Linked DNA regions of Schizosaccharomyces pombe. Changing the gene in region 3 together with the main gene of any one other region gives a genetic interaction. Each region holds a gene or a part of one and is shown on either strand. Other genes may lie near its edges.

Region 1 (6,812 bases), on a different chromosome or scaffold from region 3:
GACAACTCGACCCAAAGGTAATCCCACACGAACTTTCTGCCCTTGTTTGACCAAAAATTCAAAATCCGCAGGTGCTTCAAACACCAATACCACTGTACTACCAAGCTCAAAATTTCCGACCTCATCTCCACGAAGTAATGGGTGACCATGCAAAATAGAAGAAGATGAGGTGTATACAGCCTCATCAAAAGTACCTACTGGGCCTAGTTTTCCAAACTGATTCGTACATAAATCTTTATCAAATTTAATTCGGATACTGCCAACATTTGTAGCACCGACGGGTATCATACTCATAAACCCGTATTTGTATCTCCCCATCAAAGCTACTCTTTCGTTCAAGATGAAAAGATTTCCGAGTCGACGAGCCATAAAAGGAGAAACGCTAAACAGCTCTCCGGAAAAATGCCTTCTTCGTTCTACGACCCAATCAGTCGGCGAATGAAATCGATGGTAATCACCTGGTGCCAAGTAAATAACTGCGTAGTATAAACAATTCGTTTCTCTTGATCCGAACAACGTAAACTGTGATTTGGCTGCCACTTTTGTTGAGCTTAACAAATCAATATGTTGTGCGCTAGCATCTTTGACATGGCTTGGTCGTTCACCATGATCATGACCCATTAAATCTTGTAAACTGTAATGTATACCATTTAACTTGGCAAACTCCTCTTGACGAATGTGAGGGATATGATCGGGAGAGGGAATAGCATGGCTGCGCTTCAAACGAGCTAACTTCTCATCGCCCAATAGTGCATCAAGGGAATAGGTTATACCTTTTACTTGTTCAAGCTGACCTCCTTCAATAACACCATAATTCAAGATTTTCCCATCCGCAGGAATAACAATTGGGGCATCGGGATCAATTACGCGCGCTCCAGGTTTCAACTTTCTGGTGAAAAACTCGGCCAGATTTTTGTATTGGCGGACATCATCGGGGTCAGCTTCTGTCAAGTTGCAACCAAATATTTTAGAATAAAGGCCAAACGCTGGCACTCTCATCCATAGAGGAATCTCAATACGATTAACATATCCCCACCAACGCGAGAGAGTTCGTAATGGTAAAGTGGTAAGGACATAAAATTGCCATGGTCCCTCCACCTGAACGCCTTTCTTCTGATACGTTTTCTCGTGACGATCTTGAGCCCAAGCGAAGCCAGCTAATCCAACCAAGCCGATTCCTGTCAACCCATATGCTAAGCGGATGATTCCAACCCGTTTACGAGAGTTGTGTTTTCCCAAACTACTATACCTTGCAAATGCACCAAATTGAGGCTTCACATTACGATGAAATTTTAGCATGTTAGATTGTTTTTATGGAATTAAACTTTTGAATGGATTTCGGAGACCCGTTAACTTTTAAACTTCCATATGCTATTTCTTCGAATCCATGTGCTTCTCAAAGGATAGTGGTAGAAGTTAAGTCGTAGTAAACTTGGGATATCAAGTAAATATGGGAACTGTAATATGATTTAAAGTTGTTGAGTTTTCATTTTCTTTCTTTTTTTTTTTTTTAAGGAAATTAAATCAGATCCTTGACATTGTATCAGGCAATCCTACTTTGCGAAAATCGATCAAAATTAGAAGAAAGGAATATTCCTTATAGCATTGTATAAGTGCAGAAGAAACTTTCGAAGCAAGTTTGTAGAAAAATCTTAGAATAGGAGATTCTTTTCAATTACATTTCAATTTGTTTGATTATAATAACTTACGAGAAGGCGTAAATTAATTATTTTTTTTAAGCTTGTTTGATGGTTACCTAATAGAAAAAAAGCTTAATTGTAGCAAGATTTCTTATGTTCAGTTTTCAATGATTCGAAAACGGTAAAATAATGGAATGTTTACAACCGATGAGCGACTGTAAAAACTCATCAATACAAATAATAAAAGAGTTTTTGATCAAAATCCTTGCTTTACTTTGATAACGTTTCGATCAACACAAAAACCTATTTCATGAATTCGGGCATTGTTTGGAATTTTTAAGCAGCATGAATTCTGATATAGTAGAGGTAAAGTTTAGTTTTGGGTTGTGTTTTACTTTAAGGTTACGACCGTTGGTATATGTATATGGGAAATAAACAAACATTTTCACCATCAACTTTTTGTTGACTCACTGTAAACAAACAGAACCTGCTAATAGCATACTGCCATTTTACAACAAAAAGTTCAAGAAAACGGTTTGATTTGATTCCCAATCATTAAAGAGTAAAAGCAATTGTATTGACTGATACTTGCCTACCTAAGAGCTTGGTTGAAACAATTAAAGCGACCGTTTCAGCAACGAGAACCAATTCAAACATGAACTCTAACAACAAAAGAGTTGCGCTTCAAGAAATAAGCAATTATGTTTCCAAATCATTGAACGTAAAAGGCTGGGTGAACGCACAGGTACGAGAAATATCCCTTCAAAATGGGTGTAGCCCATCAGATAAACATTTTCCGTCACAGAGCTGGCATGGAATTAGTTCAATTGAAGAGTCGCAAATACAAAAGGACTATGATAGTTTTTTAGCGTCACCTTTAGAGGAAGAGATAGTCTTTACGGAGAAACAGCTTTTGGTAGATTTGGATGTTTGCTCGATCAGTAACGTTCAAAGTCCTAATTGCAGTGTTTCGGAATTTGGCATAGCGATTGAAGAATCAAATGACAATTGTGCAGAGGAGGATGAAGAGGAGGAATTACAGATGAGATATTCAGCAGATGAATCGGTGTCTGTGGAATACGCAAAAGAAATCCTATCGCACATGGAGAAATTGGAGGTATGAAAAAAATGGGAAGAAAAGGGGGAAGGAAAACAAGAAGATGAAGGAGTTGAAGAAGTTTTTATTTATTAACATTTTTTAGATTCGATTTATGCCTGATTACCGACATATGTCGGCTCAACCATATTATGTTACAGAGATGAGGGCTAGTGTGATCAATTGGATTGTGGGGGTGCATACATGTATAAACCTGCTTCCAGAATCCTTATTCCTATCGATCAATGTATTGGATAGATTTCTATCTCTACAAAATGTGCCAGCATCGAAAATGAAACTTTGCGGCGCAACGGCGCTGTTTATTGCTTGCAAGTATGAAGAGATCCATCCTCCTACAGTGAAAGATTTGGAAATAGTGTTGGAGGGAGAATGGATAGGAGAAGATATTTGCGGAATGGAAAAGTATATGCTTATGGTTCTTCAATATCAACTTGGGTGGCCGGGGCCAGTATCGTTTTTGAGGCTATTGACGATTGTCAACAAATGGGAGTCGCAGCTGCGAATAATGATAAAATATTTTCTTGAAGTATCGCTAGTGGAACAAAGATTTTCAAGTCTAAGGGCGAGTCAATTGGTAGCGACATGCGCCTACACCGGCCAATCTATATTGCAAGAGGAAAACTGGAGCAATACGTTGCCTCAAATTACGGGATATGATTATATGAGTTTAGTTTCGTATGTGCATCTACTGTTGAAATGTCTAGAAAATCCGTTTGATCACCACTATGCGATCTATTCAAAGTATGCAACACCGTATTTCCATGGGATTAGTCGACAAGTGCATGACTGGATTGCGACAAATACGAACTTGATGGCGATGGATGGTAGTTGAGGGGGGGGGGGAAGAGAAAAAGGAGGGAAAAGAGAGAGAAGAAGAAGTAAGATGTAGGAAATTTAATGAAAGATAGATATGAAGAGGATGAGAGAGAGAGAGAGAGAGAGAGAGAGAGAGGGAAGTGTAGGAAAATAGAGAAAAAAGAAGAGTAGTAGTAAAAGTAGAAGAGTAAGAGTAGGAGAAAAAAAATTACACGAGAGAGTAAAGACTGGGGTTATAGAAGTGAAAAGGGAGACGAACGACTTGATATGGACTTTTGTGAAAGAAGCTCGAATTAAGGTGTATCGCTAAGTAAGAAGGTTTGTAAAAAGCGAGGGAGGGTGGGACGGAATAGAGAAGCGAAGGGTCAAGTTGATGTCGAGAGGTTGGTAGTGCGGTAGATGTCGCTAATAAAGGTTTGTGAGAAGGAGAAGAGGAATCGCTACCAAGTACCTTTTATTAAAGGAGTGCCTTAGAATACAGTAAAAGAAAATAAAAGATGAACAAGACAAGGAAAGAAAAGTACCTAAATTGAACAAGAAAAAAAGAATAAAAAGCAAAATTAAATTAAAAAAAAAAAGAAATAAAGAAAATAAAAAAAAGAAATATTATTATTGTTATTATTATTTTAAATTTATTTTATTTTTATTTATTTGTTTTTTTTTTTTAGTAAGGGTATATATTTTATTAATAATAATTTTTACCTAGTGGTCCTATCTATATCTTGTTGTTGTGTGTATCTAGATGTCTATGCTACCAAAAATCTGTAACCTAATTTGTCTTATCTGATAATATGCTCTATGATACTATGAATAGCCATATCAGCTCATGAATATAGGAATCCTTGGAGCAGTCATTTGATGAAACGAGCAGTTCTTTTGAAAGATGCTTATCAACGTATTTGGGCGTAAATAGAAAAAGTTTGGGTTGTAACATTTGTTGAGTTAAATACATTTGAAATGTTTCAGAGAGTATGCAGACGGAATTGTTGTTGCTGAACATTGGCAAACACATTGATTTGCAAACATCATCGACGTAGCATTTCCCCGGTTTCCCTGTCTCCAAGGGCTCGTCATCATTGCGTCGTTTGCAATAAGCGCAAGCCAACGTGGGGAAACATAGCACAGAGGGGAGAAACAAAGTGCGATAAGTTTAGTTTTCGTAGTGGAGCGAGATGCAAGGAGTGCTTAGGAATGAGAGAAGAGAAGAGAGAAGAGAGTAAAGAGTAAAAGGATGTAAGGGTGTGAAGATGAGAGCATTTGATAAACAAAGGAAAGAAAAAGAGAATAGTCGAGTAGAATGGATGTAGAATAAAATATAATGCAATAAAATAAAATAAAATAAGAACAAAATAAAAATAAAATAAAATACAATACAATACAATACAATAATCATGAATTTTCATCTTCTTGGAATGAAACCATATCTTTTCCTCTTTTCCTCTTTTTCTCTCTTCCTCCTTTCCTTTCCTCTCCCCTTTCTCTTTTTGCATTTGCGAGTTGCATCGAAGCGACCCGCTCCATTTCGTAATTCCCGTTTCCATCGACGTAATGCACGTCGTAATTCCACCACCAAGAGAAAGCAAATGATGGAAAAGTCCAACACAAACACCGACTGGAGGAGTCAAACTCACGACAACCAGCATGAACAAACAAACCACACCGAAAATACAGACAATTCGATGTCAAAGGGCCAGGCTGATGGCTGAGTTGCGACCGACGTAGAGGAAATCAACCGAATAGCAAAAGAGGTAGAAAAGAAAGGAGAGATGAAAAACAAACGCAATATTATCAAACAATCACAATTCATCATGTAAACAATAAGAAGAAAAAAAGAAAAGATGGCAAAAAAGAAAAGAAAAGATGGTTTCAACATTTCACTTTTCTATTTACTATAAACTTCAATTCATTCTTACATTCCAACATTTATTCATTCCTTCTTTTCTTCATTCATACCTTTTCTCCATTCTCTCACTCTCACTCTCACTGCCCTTCTCTTCTCTCTCTCTACTCCACAGCGTCATCCTTTCCTCATCCTTTTCCCTTTCCATCCTTCAACTTAATTACTGGTAGGGTCGGTGACGTTTGTTTCAATTTGGCTCGTGGATGGCGACGTATTTGGGCATTGGAATGGCATGCCTATTGCTACGCTCACACTCACCATGCCATTCTGCAATGAAGAACGTGACGTAGATTGGAAAAAAAGTATTGAATCGCTCGAGTTGGGCGTGATGTAAGGCATTGACTCATTTACTATATATTGATGGGTTCGCTCGTCCTTCTCTTCTCACATATAACAATTACGAAAGAAAAAAGATTAAAAAAAAGATTCGCTTCTTGTTTGCTTTTATCCCATCTTATTCAAACGACTCTTATTTACTCGATTCATTTGATTTGATTTGATTACTCTCTTGTCTATAGTACATTTCTACCTCAATTTGTACTAAACGATTTCTCATACTCTTATACTATACTATACTATACTATTTTAATTTTTCTTTTTTCATTCAGCCCTCATAACACGACTATTCTTCTACCCTCTACTACATAGTCTTGTTATAATTCTCTCCTATACATAAAAGTCATAGTCAAAAAGTTTGCACCCCCTCGCCTTTTTTTGTCTTTGTCTTTTTATTTTATTTTTTTACTAGTCTTAACATACTACTATTGTTACTAGTACTTCTACTGACTGACTGAGTGAATTTTTGTATTTATTCAATTCTTCCTCGTTTCCTTCCTTGATTTACTGTTTGTACCCCTAAAAAAAACACATTTTCATCTCCTTTTTTTTGTGTTCAAGGTCTCTGTGATTGATACTCTCTATATCTAATTTCTCTTATTATTTATATTATATATCAATTACACACATTCTATCTATCTATATATATATATATATAATATATATTGATATATAACCCGATTTATTATCAATATTAATTATTTGTTTGTTACGTTTGTTTTTTAACGACTCTTTTCTTTTTTACGACTCTCGACAAGTTTTCGATTTCTCTTTCCCCCAAGTGATCTCTCTTGTCTCTACGTTTCAATTGTTTTAACGAACTTGTTATTTATTTATTTATTTAACTCTTTATCACGTTTTTAACGCTTTTACGTTTAAAAATCCCCTTCTTATTTATCAACAACACTTTTGATTCTCTTACATTCTTCTATTCTTCATCATCATGGTTGGAACTATTAACGAATCAATGCAAAACATGAAAATCGGCGCTAAGGAAACCGCC
Region 2 (6,148 bases), on a different chromosome or scaffold from region 3:
TTGTAAGCAATTGGCGACCAATGTCCTCTGCAATGGCGGTCGTTGAATCCAAAGAAAGTAAAAGCGAAGCACGGAGTTGTGCCTTGGCACGTTCAACCTCAGCACGAGTTGCAACGGTTAAACGAGCCCAGTTTTGGAGGGTAAAGTGGACGAGATCATCAATACGGCCAAGGTTCTCAGTGACAAGATAAATACCCCAAAGTCCAGTATCACTATAACTAGTACTGAAACTCATGAAGCTATTGGCAAGTTGATGTTGTTGAACAATAGTACTAAGACGAGAAGACAAATGGGGAGATGCTCCCATAGCACGGTCCCAGTTACCAATGATGGCTTGCATGACTAATGCAGTAAAGTAATCTGGGTGTTTCCAACTCATACCTTCAACAGCAATGGCAATGTTGGCAGTTGGTGAATCATCGTCACGAGCACGGATTTCAGACCCGACGAAACGAGGTTTGAGTCCACGAGGAGCACCAAGCGACAATTGCTCAGCTGAAGGCTCCAAATGGCCAAAATATTTTTCGGCGAGCTTTACAAGCTCCTCATGAGATATCGAACCGGCAGAAGAGATAATCATTCTATCACTACGGTAGTTGTCCTTAATATACTGGAGAAGGTCCTCACGGGTAAGAGATTCGATGTTTTCCTTAGGACCCAAAATTGTACGTCCAAGAGGATGACCCTGATAAGCGGTAGCATGTAAATGATCAAAGACTACTTCATCGGCCATTTTGTCAACCTCTTCTTGCTCTCTTAAGATGACTTGGCGTTCACGCTCAACCGCCGAGGCAGAAATGCTTGAATTTGTCAGGATATCGGCCAAAACGGCAACTGCATTAGGTACAGCGTTTTTGAACGCATGTGCATAATAAACGGTTTGTTCACGAGAGGTGTATGCGTTCAAATGTGCACCAGTATTTTCAAATTCCAATTCCAATGCTTTTTGGGAGCGATTTTTCGTTCCTTTGAACGCCAAATGTTCCAAAAAGTGAGCAGCGCCATTATTTTTTGCCGTCTCAGCTCTTGAGCCAGCATCAACGCCCACAAGGACGGTCGCTGTTTGGGCATACGGATGATGTTCCGTAGCAACTGTAAGCCCATTTTTTAAAGTAGTGGTTTCTGTTTTTGGTAAAGCAGTAGTCGCAAAACGACGTACTAGCTTTGGCAAATTCTGAAGCCTCAGCATAGTAATATCAATTCAAGCTCCTTTGGTTGGGTGGGATTCTGTGGATGGTAAAGGGTAAGTAGGTAGCAAGAAGGTATTCCGTAGAGGTGTAGCGTAATACGTGTTATCGAGGTCCCAAGTTCGAATTTCGGCAAATGACCAATTGATCCCATTTAATAAAAAAAGAAAACTAGCAATCCTTGAATCCCTTACTAGAATTTCCATGTAGAGAAAAATAAGAAGTTGACCATTCAAACAGAAACTTTCGGATTGCCTAGTCTTTGCCCTGTGCGCAATTTGCTATAAAGGAAGGAAACGAATGACCGTACAATCCAGTTCATGATATAATATATCTCTACTTAACATGGAGAATCTCATTGGTAAAAAACTATGTAGGGGATATATTGTTTCATCGGTATATTGAAAAGAATCTATATGACATTGAATCAGACAGGGTAAGACACTTCATCAGGTTAAGTTCGTATTCATCTACATTAAAAGGTTATTTATACTTAACGAAATTCTCTTTTCCATGATTTCCATTACAATATTTCGGTTAATACATTTTTAAAAAAATAACAGTCCAACTATAGAATTTTGACTAGCACCGAATCAAGCATTGTTATACATCGACTATTGAGTAGCTTGATGGTTTCTTTTTATGAGAATAGTTTTTTATATAAATGATATTAATTTAAATAAAATTTTCATCCTCTTAAAACCGTTTCTCTAACCTTTTTTTAAGCCAATGCAGCACCTTTATATTAGCATAATTGCTACAAGTAAATTTCTATAGCTTTATCTATATTATATTATTAAGTAAAAAGATTTACAGTAGATTATTGTTTTTTCACAATGTAGTGCTTTCCGTAAAATTTTTTTTGAAACTGCAGTAACTTTTGGTACTGTGTAATATTATAATAGATATTCAAACTCACCACAAAACCCATGTAATATTATATGTAGAAGGTAATTCGTTTTCAGCAGTGAATAATATTATTATAAAAAGTAATAACCAGGTTTTGAAACGACCTTAAAGACCGGAGATTCTTCTGAATAAACTTATTAATCTATTATATCTATTTAAATTTCTAGTCTTTACTCTATGTTATACAATTTTTCGTTTATGAGTAGATAGATTTAGGTTCTCATCGCCTATTTCCGGCCACTCCAAGCTCAACACATCGAGCTGTTGAATGGCCAATAATGTGGACACAAGATCCGCCAATACGAACTCACCTACTACCACCACCAGCTTTTCTTGGTTTACAAACAATATGTTACAAACACGTTTAGGACTTGGAGCACTTCGTCAAGGACGTCTTCTTTTTGCAGTTAAATCTTTTAGCACAACCAGTGTTGCGAAAATTTTCCCTCCTCCCCCTCAGACCATTAAGGGAACTGTTAATGATGCTGCTGTTTTCCCTCACCACAGTAAGCTCCACGGAAGCTATCATTGGGACTTTGAAAGAATTATTGCTATTGCCATGGTTCCTCAAGTCATGATCCCTTTGTTCACCGGAACTTCTCATCCCTTAATGGACGCTGCATTGGCTTGCACCTTGATTACGCATGCCCACTTGGGGTTTGAATCTTGTGTGATTGACTACTTCCCTGCAAGAAGATTTAAGAAGTTATCTCCTTTGATGCACTGGATCTTACGTGGATGTACTGTTCTTACACTTATTGGCGTCTATGAGTTCAACACGAATGATATTGGCCTTACGGAGGGTATTAAAAAGCTTTGGAAATCTTAAGCTTCTTTCCATGCAAACCCATATAACCCCACTTATTTTTTCATAATGATTATTCCTTTCCTTTTTCTTTTTTATTCTCCTTAATCCGTCATCTAGTAAGTTTTGGGCTTGAAACTTACCAGTTCAAACCCCAAAACTGCCAATTGATATTCTGCAGTTGATCTTTGCTCTTTTCTTGATTTCTGGCTTGATTGATCCTCTCAATTTATCTGTGTAAATCTGTTTAGCGCTTGCACAGTATGTTTATGTTTACCTTCAACGATAATTTTTCTAGTGGGAGTGGTTAGAAGACTATTCAAGTTTGTGGCAGCTCTTGTTAAGGTCCTTATGTCGACTTGAATTAATAATTCTTCCAAGACAAAATCCATTGAATTATTTTATTGGGTGTCCCATTTATTATTTATCGTTTAGAATGGGTCAACAATTTACCCATGTACGCTTCGTTCCCTTATTCTTTGATAAGGTATTAGAAGACATGCTCTAACGTTTACCGTTTTAATCTCATTTATCGAATGTTGCGTTACAATTTTCGATATTTACATAACGTTCTTAGCCATACTGTTGTATTTTGCTTTACCGAAGTGTCTTTACACATTGTTAAGCAATTGGGAGTGGAATCATATGCTTGCACTGTGCATGCGTCTCGGTTCCAAAAGTCGTACTCTGCTTCGATCGATTATTGTCAAAGATTTTTATTCTCCTCGAATTTAAAACATAATTATGTCAATTTGAATATTATTTTTACAAGTTGTATATTTCGTAGTTTGCGCGAGTTTTTGCGGTTTTATATCGCTGCCATCATGTGCTTTTTGTAATCTACCACACACTCACTAACACTTTGTTAACAAGTTCAGCTGATAATTTGCTCTTCTTCTGTAGTCTGTTGAAGTTGAATTCGTTTTGTTTTGTATTTTTTTCTAAATCGTTTTGTGGTGAAAATCACGATACAATAAGCGAATTCGAATTCTGAATTCGTGGTATCCCAACCTAAAACAGCTAACTGCTAAGCGTGTAAAAAGACTTTATTAGCTGGCTTTGTTTAACATTGGTATCGTTTTTGTTATTTTTCTTTTCCTTCCAAAGTTTTGTATGTTGATTTTCTTTTGTTGATCATCGGCTTGTCTCTTTTTGCTGTTGACTTACATTAAGTAATTGGTTTTAATCGTCAAATTTTGATTATTTCTTCACTTGAGGGGGTTTCTTTTTTTTTTTACGTCTCTTGTCTTTGATTTGGGTTCCTTACTATTATCTATTTATTTCGACATTTCCAACATTTATCGTTTCTATACAGTAACTCGCTTCTCTTAATTTTCCTTATTTAATCTCTAATTGGCTTGTACTATTTCTTTTTCGTTATTTCTTTTTATAATTTAGATTGCCTTTAAAAATTTTGTTTAGTTTCTTAAAATGTATACTACTACACTTTCAGTCCAGGGTATGACATGCACCAGTTGTGTGGCCTCTATCCAATCCATGTTGGAAGGAGTGGAAGGAATTGAACAATTCACTATATCGTTGCTTCTTGAGCGTGCTATTGCCGTTCATGATCCTAGCATTATCTCACCGGATCAGATCGCTGAGAAAATTGAAGATTGTGGATTTGATGCGTCTGTGATTTCTTCAACAGAGGGTGAACATGGTGTCATGGCTAATTATTTATTACTTTCTCCTATGCAGGCGGAACAATGGACCAAAGTACATAATCATATCAATGAACTGCAAGGCGTTTTGTCCGTCAATTGCTCTTCCTCCCCGGATGCAGCTATACGTGTCATTTATGATTCTGAGATTACTGGCCCTCGTTCCATCATGAAGGAAATATTATCTATGGGTGTCAAATGTACATTTCAACCAGTAGATTCCTCCACCTCTCGTATTCTGTCACTTCAACGAGGGAGTCAAATTAGAGTATGGAAAATCCGATTTATTATTTCAATATCATTCTCTTTGGCGGTGATGTTTTTACCCCAGATATTCGATTCTTGTGATTCCATGCGTGCTGCTTTTTTGGTCCCCCATTATTTTGGTATATGTGCTGGCCACATCATCAGCCTAGTATTATCCCTTCCCGTCCAGTTTGGTGTTGGAAGGGTCTACTATTCTGCCGCATATCATGCACTGAAAAGAGGAACAGCCAATATGGATGTTTTAGTATCTTTGGGCTCCACTGTAGCCTTCGCTGCCAGTATCTTTTTCATGATTCTCTACAGCGCTAGACATGCTGATAATCCTGCTCCTATATTTTTTGATACCGCTGATATGCTATTGACGTTTGTTACGTTAGGTCGTTATTTGGAAAGTAAAGCTAAAGGTTCTACATCAGCTGCTCTTTCTCAACTGTTGAGCCTTGCTCCTTCCAGTGCAACGATAATAGAAGACAATGAACAAATTGAGATCTTAGCTGATCTCATCGAGCGTGGAGACCTCATTCTAGTCAAGCCTGGCGAAATAATCCCTGTAGACGGTACGGTTGTTGAAGGCTCTTCCTACGTCGATGAAAGTTCTGTTTCTGGAGAACCCGTTCCAGTGCATAAAACAATTGACGATGAACTTTTGAGCGGAACAGCTAACGGGAATGGACGACTGCTTGTAAAAGCAACAAAATCACCTAGAGAATCACAGTTAGCTGTGATTGTTGATCTTGTTCAGAGGGCTCAAATCTCACATGCTCCTATCCAACAATTTGCCGATCGCGTTGCTGGAATTTTTGTTCCAGTAATTGTTGCTCTTTCAATTTCAACTTTTACATTTTGGTTTTTATTCACTAAATATTCTTCAAAATACCCATCGGTGTTTGATGATCCAATGGGAAAGTTTGCAGTTTGCCTAAAATTGACAATTAGTGTCGTCGTTGTCGCCTGCCCATGCGCACTGGGGTTAAGTACCCCTACAGCCGTTATGGTTGGAACCGGTGTTGGTGCTCTGAACGGTATCATCATCAAAGGTGGTGAAATTTTAGAGCGTCTAAATCAGGTTGACACTGTTGTCTTTGATAAGACAGGCACACTTACAGTGGGTAAGCTAAGTGTCACCGACATAAGCATTGTAGATAATTTGGAGGAATTACTTGACATTCCTAAGAATATTTTTTGGGCTTTTGTTAAAGCTTCAGAGTCTTCAAGTGAACATCCAATTGGAAAAGCTATTACTGAGAAAGCTTCAGAATTTACCGATGTTTCTGAAATTGGAATTGAATCATTCAATGCTGTGCCAGGTGAAGGTG
Region 3 (9,446 bases):
TGAAATTGTTAAAGCAAGATTTGGCCAAGCAAGTCATGCAGTCTTTTTATTTTACGCGCTTGGTACAAATATCATCGTTTCTGCCATGCTTCTCCTCGGTGGTTCTCAGGCTATATCGGCAATCACTGGAATGCATGTTGTTGCAGCAGGATTTTTACTTCCTTTAGGAGTATGGTTGTATACTGTGTCTGGTGGGCTCAAATCTACTTTCCTTAGTGATTGGACTCATACTGTTATTGTTTACATCGTTATTTTGATTACCTTATTCGTGGCGTATACCTCCTCGGTGCACATTGGGTCAATTGATAAGATGTATGATTTGTTAACCGAGGTTTCTAAAACAAACCCATCTACTGGATATAAAGGAAGTTACCTTACTGTAACAAACCGTGATGCTGTTTTTGTTGGGTGGAATATAGTAATCGGAGGATTTGCAACAGTATTTTGTGATCCTAGCTACGGACAAAAGGCGATTGCTGCAAAGCCTATATCTGCAATGAAAGGCTATTTTGCTGGCGGTTTGGCCTGGTTAATTGTTCCATGGGCCATGGGTTCTGCTGCGGCACTTTCGTGTTTGGCTTTGACTAATAATCCAGTTAGTGTTACATATCCGGACCCCGTCTCTAGTAAACAAGTTAGTGAAGGTATGCCTTTACTATATGGAATGACTGCATTAATGGGAAAGAACGGTGCTGCCGCTGGAGTTTTAATTTTATTTATGGCATCAACATCAGCAACTTCCGCTGAACTTGTTGCCTTTTCATCGGTTATGACATACGACGTTTACCGCAATTATTTTAGACCGAATGCAAGTGGTAAAGAGTTAGTTCGTGTTACACATGTTTTTGTTACTATATTTGCTGTATGTATGGGTGCCCTTGCTGTTCTTTTCAATTATATCGGTATAACAATTTCATGGATTATTACATTCATTGGTATTGCCCTCGGACCAGCTGTGTTCGGAATTACATTGACTTTATTCTGGAAAAAAATGAATAAATATGGAATGATTATTGGATGTCCCATGGGATCTATCACAGGTGTTGTTTGCTGGGTAGGATCGTGTTACAAGTTTTCTAATGGTGTTGTAAATAAGACAACCTTAAATACTCCTTATGCAAATGCGGTAGGTAATTTCACCGGTCTTTTCTCTGGATTGATTTATATTGTTCTCATATCCTACTTTTTCCCTAACAAATCAGATGATCTAAATAATCTGAATGAAAAGTTTGTGTTAGGTGATGACGCTACTGCTGAAGAAATTGTTGATGCAGAAACTGAGAAAAAGCAACTTGATAGGTCCTTGAGGATTGGAATCTTTGTCAGTTGGATAATATTTTTTATTTTGGTGATTATAGTTCCACTTCCAATGTATGGATCAAAGTATATTTTCTCTAAGCTTTTTTTTAGAGGATGGATTATTGTTATTATAATTTGGACCTTAATAGCCGCTTTGTATATTACTTTTTATCCTTTATATGAAAGCAGAGATACTATTGTATATCTTTGTAAACTAGCGATAGGAAAAGCAAAGGCCCCCGAACCCATGAATTATGTGGATGCAGTAGAAGTTGAAATTGAAAGCCTCTCTGATGATGATAAAGAGAAGAAAGCAAATGATTTTCTTTAAATCTTAACTTAAATGACAAGCTTTGCAGTCTTAAGAATTTTTGATTTAAAATTCTTAATTTATTGAGAGCATCCAATTGTGAATTTGCTTTATTACCAGAAATAATCTTAACCTCCTGGTTTCCTATGTAGCTTTTATTGCTATGAATTTTAATCTTTAATAAATCAATTGATTGCAAATAATAGCGTAATTTGAGCTTTGTCATTTTTTGGCTATGCTTTATTGCGCAAATTTAGTCCTCATTTATTCATTATACTTACTTTTGGATACAACAATAGTCCGTTTAGGTACTATTCCACTAAACGAAGATAGTAAAATAAGCGATTTCTACAGAGGTTATCATTTATCTGACTTAATGTGTAATCAAAGTGATTAATGATTTTTTAAGAGACTCTTTTGTAAATAAAAAATAAAATACATTTCAGTTGTTTGGATGTATATTTTGTAGTTGATAAGGGATTACTGAGGTTGAAAGCCCTTGAGAAACGAGGCAATACAGTGATGATTACGACGCTGTTTGTTTGTCGGGATAAAGAGATAAAGAAAAAGAAGCAGTCAAGTAGGCAATATTGACGTTAAGTGATTTTTTGTGAAAATGTCAATTATTTATAATTTTCCTGAAGAAGGTAATGAAAGATTGGGAAAATAAATAGATGCAAGTAAATTTTGTAAGATAAGTATACCCTTTATCTCTTTTGCAAATGTGTTTTGTTCGATTTTGCAATAAAAAACTAAAGTTTGTACTTTTAGTAATTGAAGGCATTTTTGCATATTTGTGCTTTTAATGCATCAGCTGTTCCCATAAACTATGTGTAAGCTTAAAGGAGAACGTTTGTTAACAAAATTAGACATTTTTGAAATATTTACACATCGTTTCTACTTATTAAATATTAATTTTTTTTCATCTTTTAAAAGTCGGCAACATTTTGAATTTATGATTATATTTGTATCAATGATATATTTGCAATTTAGTTAAAATAATCAGCTCGTAAAGAATGCTATGGCATATCAATTAAGAAGAGCTTTAGGTTACTAAAAGTTTATGATTACGGAATAGAAGATTGAAATAACTACAAAATTTTGATATCGCTAATGGGTTCGTAGTTGTGTAGTGTTTACTCAAAATCTAGTATGTAGACCCATCTGTGCAGTCGATTTTTGATGATATAGAGGTACTATTTCACAAATGGCCATAAGCAATTGAGTAAAAATAAAACTTTTTGCTCAGAATCGAGCCAAAAACTACTTAATTAAACGTAATATAAGCAAATTACCTTGAAGGTTGATACAACAAGACAAATAATTCAAAAAAGGGAATAAAGCTATGAAGATTGCGTACTAAGCTGAGAAGTACGTTTTATTGAAGGTTAAATGCAAGTTGAGAAGTGACGCTTGAATATCCAAAAGCTAAGGAAGTAGCGGTTGTCAAAGGTCAGACAGTTAGTACAATCAAAATTCGGCAAAAAAGATTCAATTTAGAAAACGAAAAGTAAAGAGGATTTGGTACGGAAAAAATTACTATGATCTTTAATATTTGCATTTGAACTTACACAACAAAGTTAAGGAATAATTGTAAACCCTTGCAATAAAATGGAATTGAAACAAATGCCTTGGAGGAGAATGTTTGCAAAAAAAAACTTTTATAATTTGTGATGTACAGATATTTTTAATAACTCTCGTTTAAGTAACAAAAAATGTTGAAGCTGAATTCGTTTTCTCAAACAAGTTATTCAACCTTACATTGACTAGGTTCTTCAACAAAAACCTATTATATTTATCAAAATTGTACTAATAGTTTTAAGTAAGCGATGATCCACTTTAACCACAGTCCTACTTTTGCAAATTATGCAAAAATGACTTTAGTTTTTGAATTGCTTGTAGTCCAAGATGTTTGGAATATCCAAATGAATTCATTTAAATCTTATCTCGTTAATATACGGCTATTTAATAGTGTGATATAACAGCAACATTGCATAAGACATGAGCTTTTTTGATTATTCTCTTTTCTCACTTTGACGATAAGAACCACGTCCTTACCAGCATTACTTTGATCTGTGCATAAGTAAGAGGGAAAAGTTCCTGAATTATTGTATTAATTTAACATCCCTACAATTTAATACTCAGATTAACTTTGTTTTCTTCAACGTAGAAGTAAAAACCATAACAAGTATCTGTGTTGAAAGATGAAGGGTAGGTTCATTAAAATTACGATACCAATGCATCACTATGTTAAATACATTCGTTAACTAAAGTGTAGTTATAGTTCTTCCTACGGTTTTCGTTACATTAGTAAATAGCTGTAACCAGGAACTAATAAGTAACGGTTACTACTCTCATTTATTATGCTGCAAAATTACGCAAATTATTTAAGACTGATTGTTACAAAAGATTTTGAGGTGTTCCTTCGGGAAAAAAACAGCAATCATTAAACAGATAATTGTTTTGGCAAATTTATTTCAAAACTGTAAACAAACGTTCCGTCGAAGTTCAATCAGTTGTCATTAGAATCATTAGAACCTGTTAAGTTCCTAGGACCCAAATTTTGCACATTACTTTTTAACATTCTAAAAACAAAACGCGGGAGAGTTTAAATGGGAGCTCAAACAGTTTAGTTTAAATGTTTTGACGAATCTTTTTAGAAATGTTGTTGCGCTTCATTATAAGATCCAAAACAGTCTATAACGGCGGACAAAAGAATTACTCAAATCATGTTAGTTAGTATATCATGCTTTATAAAGAAATGTGCTTCATTGTAATCATATTTAACAAGAGGTTGAGGCCTTTGGTTTCGTGTTCTCACTATCAACGAGGCTGAGACTTCTACCGAACGATCTAGAAGTAAGTCAATGTTTAATCAAAAGTCGCAGCCGACGGTGATGACAAACCCGAAGTGGAAATGCTCCAATATACCATTGGCAGTGAAACGTCGTACGACTGAATGCCAGCAAAAGATTTTGTAGCATACAGCTTCCCTACCTGAATGGCTTCTGAGTGGCTAACACGCAACTTGATCCGGATTAGTTAACGAGCTGTCTCCCGAGACTCCTAAAAGAAACCCAAAGCTGCAGAACGGTCATAAATGAGTTAACTTTTCAATATTGGTTACTTCTTGATTATTAATATTGTAAGTTAAAAGAATTCAAAGCCTTACTATTTTCTTGATTGATTTAATATATATATGGCATAACCGTTTGGAATTAGAGATTCCAAAGTAAAATGTCCAGTGTTGAGGTTAATCGTGAAAACGCTGATGTTGCTAATACAAATCGACAGGCAAATCTAGCAGAAGGCTATGAAATAAAAGAACTTAATGAATCGCAAAAGCAGTATATACGTTCTTCAATCCCAATCCTTGAATCATCTGGGGTAAACTTGACAAAAGCATTCTACCAAAAAATGCTAGGTAACTACCCGGAAGTGCTCCCGTACTTTAATAAAGCGCATCAAATTTCTTTATCTCAACCAAGGATTTTAGCGTTTGCTTTGTTGAATTATGCTAAAAACATTGATGATCTCACTTCGCTCTCGGCTTTTATGGATCAAATTGTGGTCAAACATGTTGGTTTACAGATCAAAGCAGAACATTATCCCATAGTGGGACATTGTCTGTTGAGCACCATGCAAGAACTACTACCTAGTGATGTTGCTACCCCGGCATTTTTAGAGGCATGGACTACTGCATATGGTAACTTGGCAAAAATTTTGATTGACTCTGAAAAAAAAGTTTATCAGAGTCAGCCATGGAACGGGTTCGTGGAATTCAAAGTTACAGAACTTATTAATGAATCTTCCGACGTAAAATCAGTTTACTTGGGTCCGAAAGATCCAGCTTTCAGAATTTCTCATGCCCACCCAGGGCAATATGTCAGTGTGCTCTGGGAAATACCTGGTTTATCACATAAAACATTAAGAGAGTATTCATTGTCTAATCGTGTTGATACTTGTAGAAATCAGTTTCGCATTTCTGTACGCCGAGTCGCTGGGGGAGTAGTTTCCAACTTTGTACACGATAACTTGAAAGTTGGTGATATCGTTGGTGTCAGTCCTCCGGCCGGTAATTTTGTTTACAAACGTTCAGAGGAAAATGTAAATCGCCCGCTTCTTTGCTTTGCTGGTGGTATTGGTATAACACCGCTTATTCCAATCATTGAGACAGCTTTATTAGATGGAAGAAAGGTAAACTTTTGTTATTCTAGCAGAAATTATGTTAGCCGTCCTTTCAAACAGTGGCTTGAGCAACTCAAACTTAAATATAAAGAGAACTTGAAATTGAAAGAGTTCTTTTCGGAGGAGTCCTCAGTTACTAAAGAGCAGATTGTGGATGAGGTAATGACTCGTATTATAAATGAAGAAGACCTAGAAAAGCTAGACTTAAGTGAATGCGACATATACATGCTTGGACCAAATAACTATATGCGTTTTGTTAAGCAAGAACTAGTCAAACTAGGAGTTGAACCAAATAAAGTACAGAGTGAATTTTTTGGACCGTATATTCCTTAAGTCGCAAATGCAGCAAAATCTTTCTGGATACTTTGCAATAACTGGTTGAATAACATTAAAGTGAAGTAGTGAATTGATGAATTTATAAAGGTTTAGAATTCTGCTGAACATTGTAAAATGTTCAGATACAGATTTTTTTAGTACTTTTTTCAAGTATATTCCGAAATAGAATGGTTTCTCAAATAATTACTTATTTATCGTTTATTATGAAGCTGATTTATTTTTATTGCTATTTGTGACTATGGATAATGAATATTACAAACTTTAAATCGGTTTACCTTTTTAAAAAAATGAACTTTACTTGATTTGAAAGCACGCTATTTTCGCATAATAATATTTTAAATCTGAAAGCAAAACTCACATTCTTGTTGTACAACAACTCCATTTTGATTTCGATTAGCACTAGCTGCAATGAGAATATAGTTAAATGTTTAAAGATAACATCAATTTAAATAAAAGTATGTGGAAATTGAATTCGTTAATAATGTGAATCTCTTGGCTGCACTTTTAAAGGCATACGGGTTATATCCGACAGCTTTTATTACAATCAGAATTCATTGTACTAGACGGATTTAATTGCTGTTGTGCACTATAGTTTCTAGACGTCCCGTATTGGTGAATTTGGTTTAGTAGACATGGTAAACAAGAACCAAGGATTCGAATGTTGAAGTATTAAAAGTTTTAAAAGGTGAATTCGATCTATTCGAGAGAAAAAAGGATTGCACGTGCGAAGGCGCTATACAATTTTCAAAATCGAGTTTGCATGCCGCAAATCTAAAATATTATCTCCTTTTGTTGCGAATACACCTGATAACGGAAGCGAGATTTTTGTTTTCGCATAGTAGGCCGTATATAGCAATAAATTAGATAAAAATATTAATCGCTTTTTCAGCCGTCGATTTCATTAATCAGCCACTAATATCTTTTGAATTATTAAACATGTCGTTCACTGCATCGATCATGTAGTAGAATCAAAGACTTTACCCTAACATTTTTATTTCATCCGCACAAATTTATCATGATGTAAAATCAATAAATTCTTGCTTTAAGTTAACGTATTCTCTAATATACTAGCAATGATATCGGTTTACGTTTTTAACCCAGATTTTAAACAACTGAATTGCTATTTTGGGCCTATAGTTCGAAATCGAAGGGAAACAAACATGCCTTCTTAAATAATTTATGATAAAGAGTTATATATACTAATACCCTCATTTTGAAGTATTACATGTAACTTACAATTTGTATATACGTTTGCAGATTTGATAAACCAGAATTTGAAATTATTTCCTTACGTTTTAAACATAAAAAAATTTTTAAGTAGAGTTCATACGTCTGATAAGCATGATTCTATATATTAAATCATTATGCACAACCTTGGGACAAAATTGGGGTAAATTGGCTAATTAATCCTAGAACTGTGTAACTACATGAAAAAGAATTGAATTAACAACACTATATTTTGCAAAAAAACTGAGTGACATATTATTAACAAATTAAAACAGTAATTAAGAACCATATTATTGAGTTTCGTTTCAAACCTCGGCTTTCTAAAATAAGGTTGTTAATAGATAATAATTGGATAACTGATTCAAATTGTAGGAATTTCAACTATTTCTGAATTTTGTTTATAAAGCTTATGATCCTATTCTTAGTAGATGTTTTTATTAATTATTGAATAAACATCTGTTAGAAACTATGGTTGTTATTTCATGGATCTAATGTAATCTTTTAAATTCTCATGTAGTAAAGTAACTATGTTTTGATGTTGAGTATTTGTCTCCAGGTACGTTTTCAGCTTTTCTTTTTTTTTAACAAGTATCATTGATTGCTCAATCTACAAATAAATAATTACATATTATATTAAAGATTGTTTTGAAAGGCCCAACAAAATATTAATGAATTTTGTAACTTTTTTATTATTTATAGCTAAACCCAAAGTAAGTAAGAACTGTTTATCGTCCATATATATATCTCATTTTGCTTAGTTAATAGCACAATTAATATGTAAAAATCATAAGATACGAAACGAGTGTAAATTAATTCGCCTGTTTAAATACTTTAACCAGAGTAAAAGAAAAAAGAAATCATATAATCTCATGAGATGTGGTTGCCTACCAAACAGGAACGTTTTTGGCAACATATTCATAAAACTTGGGTTTTGCTTTGTATTGCAGAAGATCCTCAATAGCCGATCCATATTTAATTAGTTGAGGTTCTTGCCAGGCTGAATGCATAATTCCTAATCCAAATGGTCTGCCATTTGTTTTTACACCTATAGGAAGAGTAATCATAGGATATCCTGCTTTTGCTGCTTGCTGGTAAGTAATTGATGTACCACTTGGAACTAACAAGCCATTCAATATAAAACTATCATTCGTTTTAGGATCCGTATAGTTTAATGCGTAATCAATTCCCTCATCTTGAGATGTACGACGCACGTATTCAACAGCTTGCCAGTAGGTTTCATTTTTAACTCCACCCCATTCCAAAGATGCCAAAAATCCATCTTGACCAGATGAAAAAGCGGGTACAATATTTGGTTTTCCTCCTTCTGTTCCCATATATTTATTGTTATATTCAACAATATCCTCTAAAGAATGTATCTCTGTATTTTTTACTTCTGATAAATAACTTTTTATATTGTTGTAGAAATCCACTTTGACAACCGTATATTCTGATTCATTGACGGAACCCAATTCCCAATTCCATCCATCATTAGAAATTACATCCAGGTTATAAAAATTTGTATTGTTGTAAACAATAGCCCCGGCTTCTTCGATTTGTTTAACTACCTCTAATAAACGATCAATTTCGTCAGCCTTAGCATTTTGCCAAAGCCTTTTCCATGGAAGTCCAAATCTCGCGCCTTCTAAAGATGTTTTGTTGGATAAAAATTTCATGTAATCACCATCTTCAGGAGTCTTTCCTGTCTGGTTCAAAGTGTAAATATCATTTTCATCAATACCCCACATAGACTGGAAAACATAAACAGCGTCTCGAACTGTTCTGGCAATTGGGCCTGTTGTGTCTTGGTGTTCAGACTCTGGAATAACGCCATATCGAGAGGTCAGTCCTACTGTGGGCTTCAAACCTACAACCCCATTTCGCATGGCTGGGTCAATTATACTTCCATCAGTTTCAGTCCCCAATGCAAATGCAATCATGTTTGAGGCAACTGATATTGCGGACCCAGATGATGAGCCGCCCGGATTCACTGTTAGATTAAATGGGCACCTTGATTGCCCACCACGTGCAGAATAGCCCTCACTGTAGTCATTAGACCTCATATCTGCCCATTCTGAAAGCGTCGCAT

What was found. Genes that interact genetically often act in the same process or in processes that back each other up.
Region 1: mutations in yhb1 (region 3) and rem1 together harm fitness more than expected from each alone (negative genetic interaction), as found in Schizosaccharomyces pombe (one large-scale study listed by BioGRID).
Region 2: mutations in yhb1 (region 3) and tim18 together harm fitness more than expected from each alone (negative genetic interaction), as found in Schizosaccharomyces pombe (one large-scale study listed by BioGRID).

Annotation. Positions count from the first base shown.
Region 1 is NC_003423.3:1,950,196-1,957,007, reverse strand, and holds rem1 (meiosis specific cyclin Rem1), read left to right. Parts: upstream 1-2,295; coding exon 2,296-2,757; exon of another isoform or gene 2,758-2,842; coding exon 2,843-3,589; downstream 3,590-6,812. Other genes in the region: phosphatidylserine decarboxylase Psd1, read right to left, coding at 1-1,299; SPOM_SPBC16E9.20 (uncharacterized protein), read right to left, coding at 4,647-5,216. UniProt on the Schizosaccharomyces pombe protein: Required for pre-meiotic DNA synthesis and S phase progression. Regulates levels of meiotic intragenic recombination.
Region 2 is NC_003423.3:2,033,655-2,039,802, forward strand, and holds tim18 (TIM22 inner membrane protein import complex and succinate dehydrogenase (SDH) anchor subunit Tim18), read left to right. Parts: upstream 1-2,405; 5' UTR 2,406-2,445; coding exon 2,446-2,925; downstream 2,926-6,148. Other genes in the region: MPP complex beta subunit Qcr1, read right to left, coding at 1-1,189; SPOM_SPBC29A3.21 (uncharacterized protein), read left to right, coding at 3,438-3,740; Cu(2+) transporting ATPase Ccc2, read left to right, coding at 4,333-6,148. UniProt on the Schizosaccharomyces pombe protein: Membrane-anchoring subunit of succinate dehydrogenase (SDH) that is involved in complex II of the mitochondrial electron transport chain and is responsible for transferring electrons from succinate to ubiquinone (coenzyme Q).
Region 3 is NC_003424.3:5,513,113-5,522,558, forward strand, and holds yhb1 (nitric oxide dioxygenase), read left to right. Parts: upstream 1-4,838; 5' UTR 4,839-4,846; coding exon 4,847-6,130; 3' UTR 6,131-6,838; downstream 6,839-9,446. Other genes in the region: SPOM_SPAC869.03C (urea transporter), read left to right, coding at 1-1,630; SPOM_SPAC869.01 (amidase), read right to left, coding at 8,245-9,446.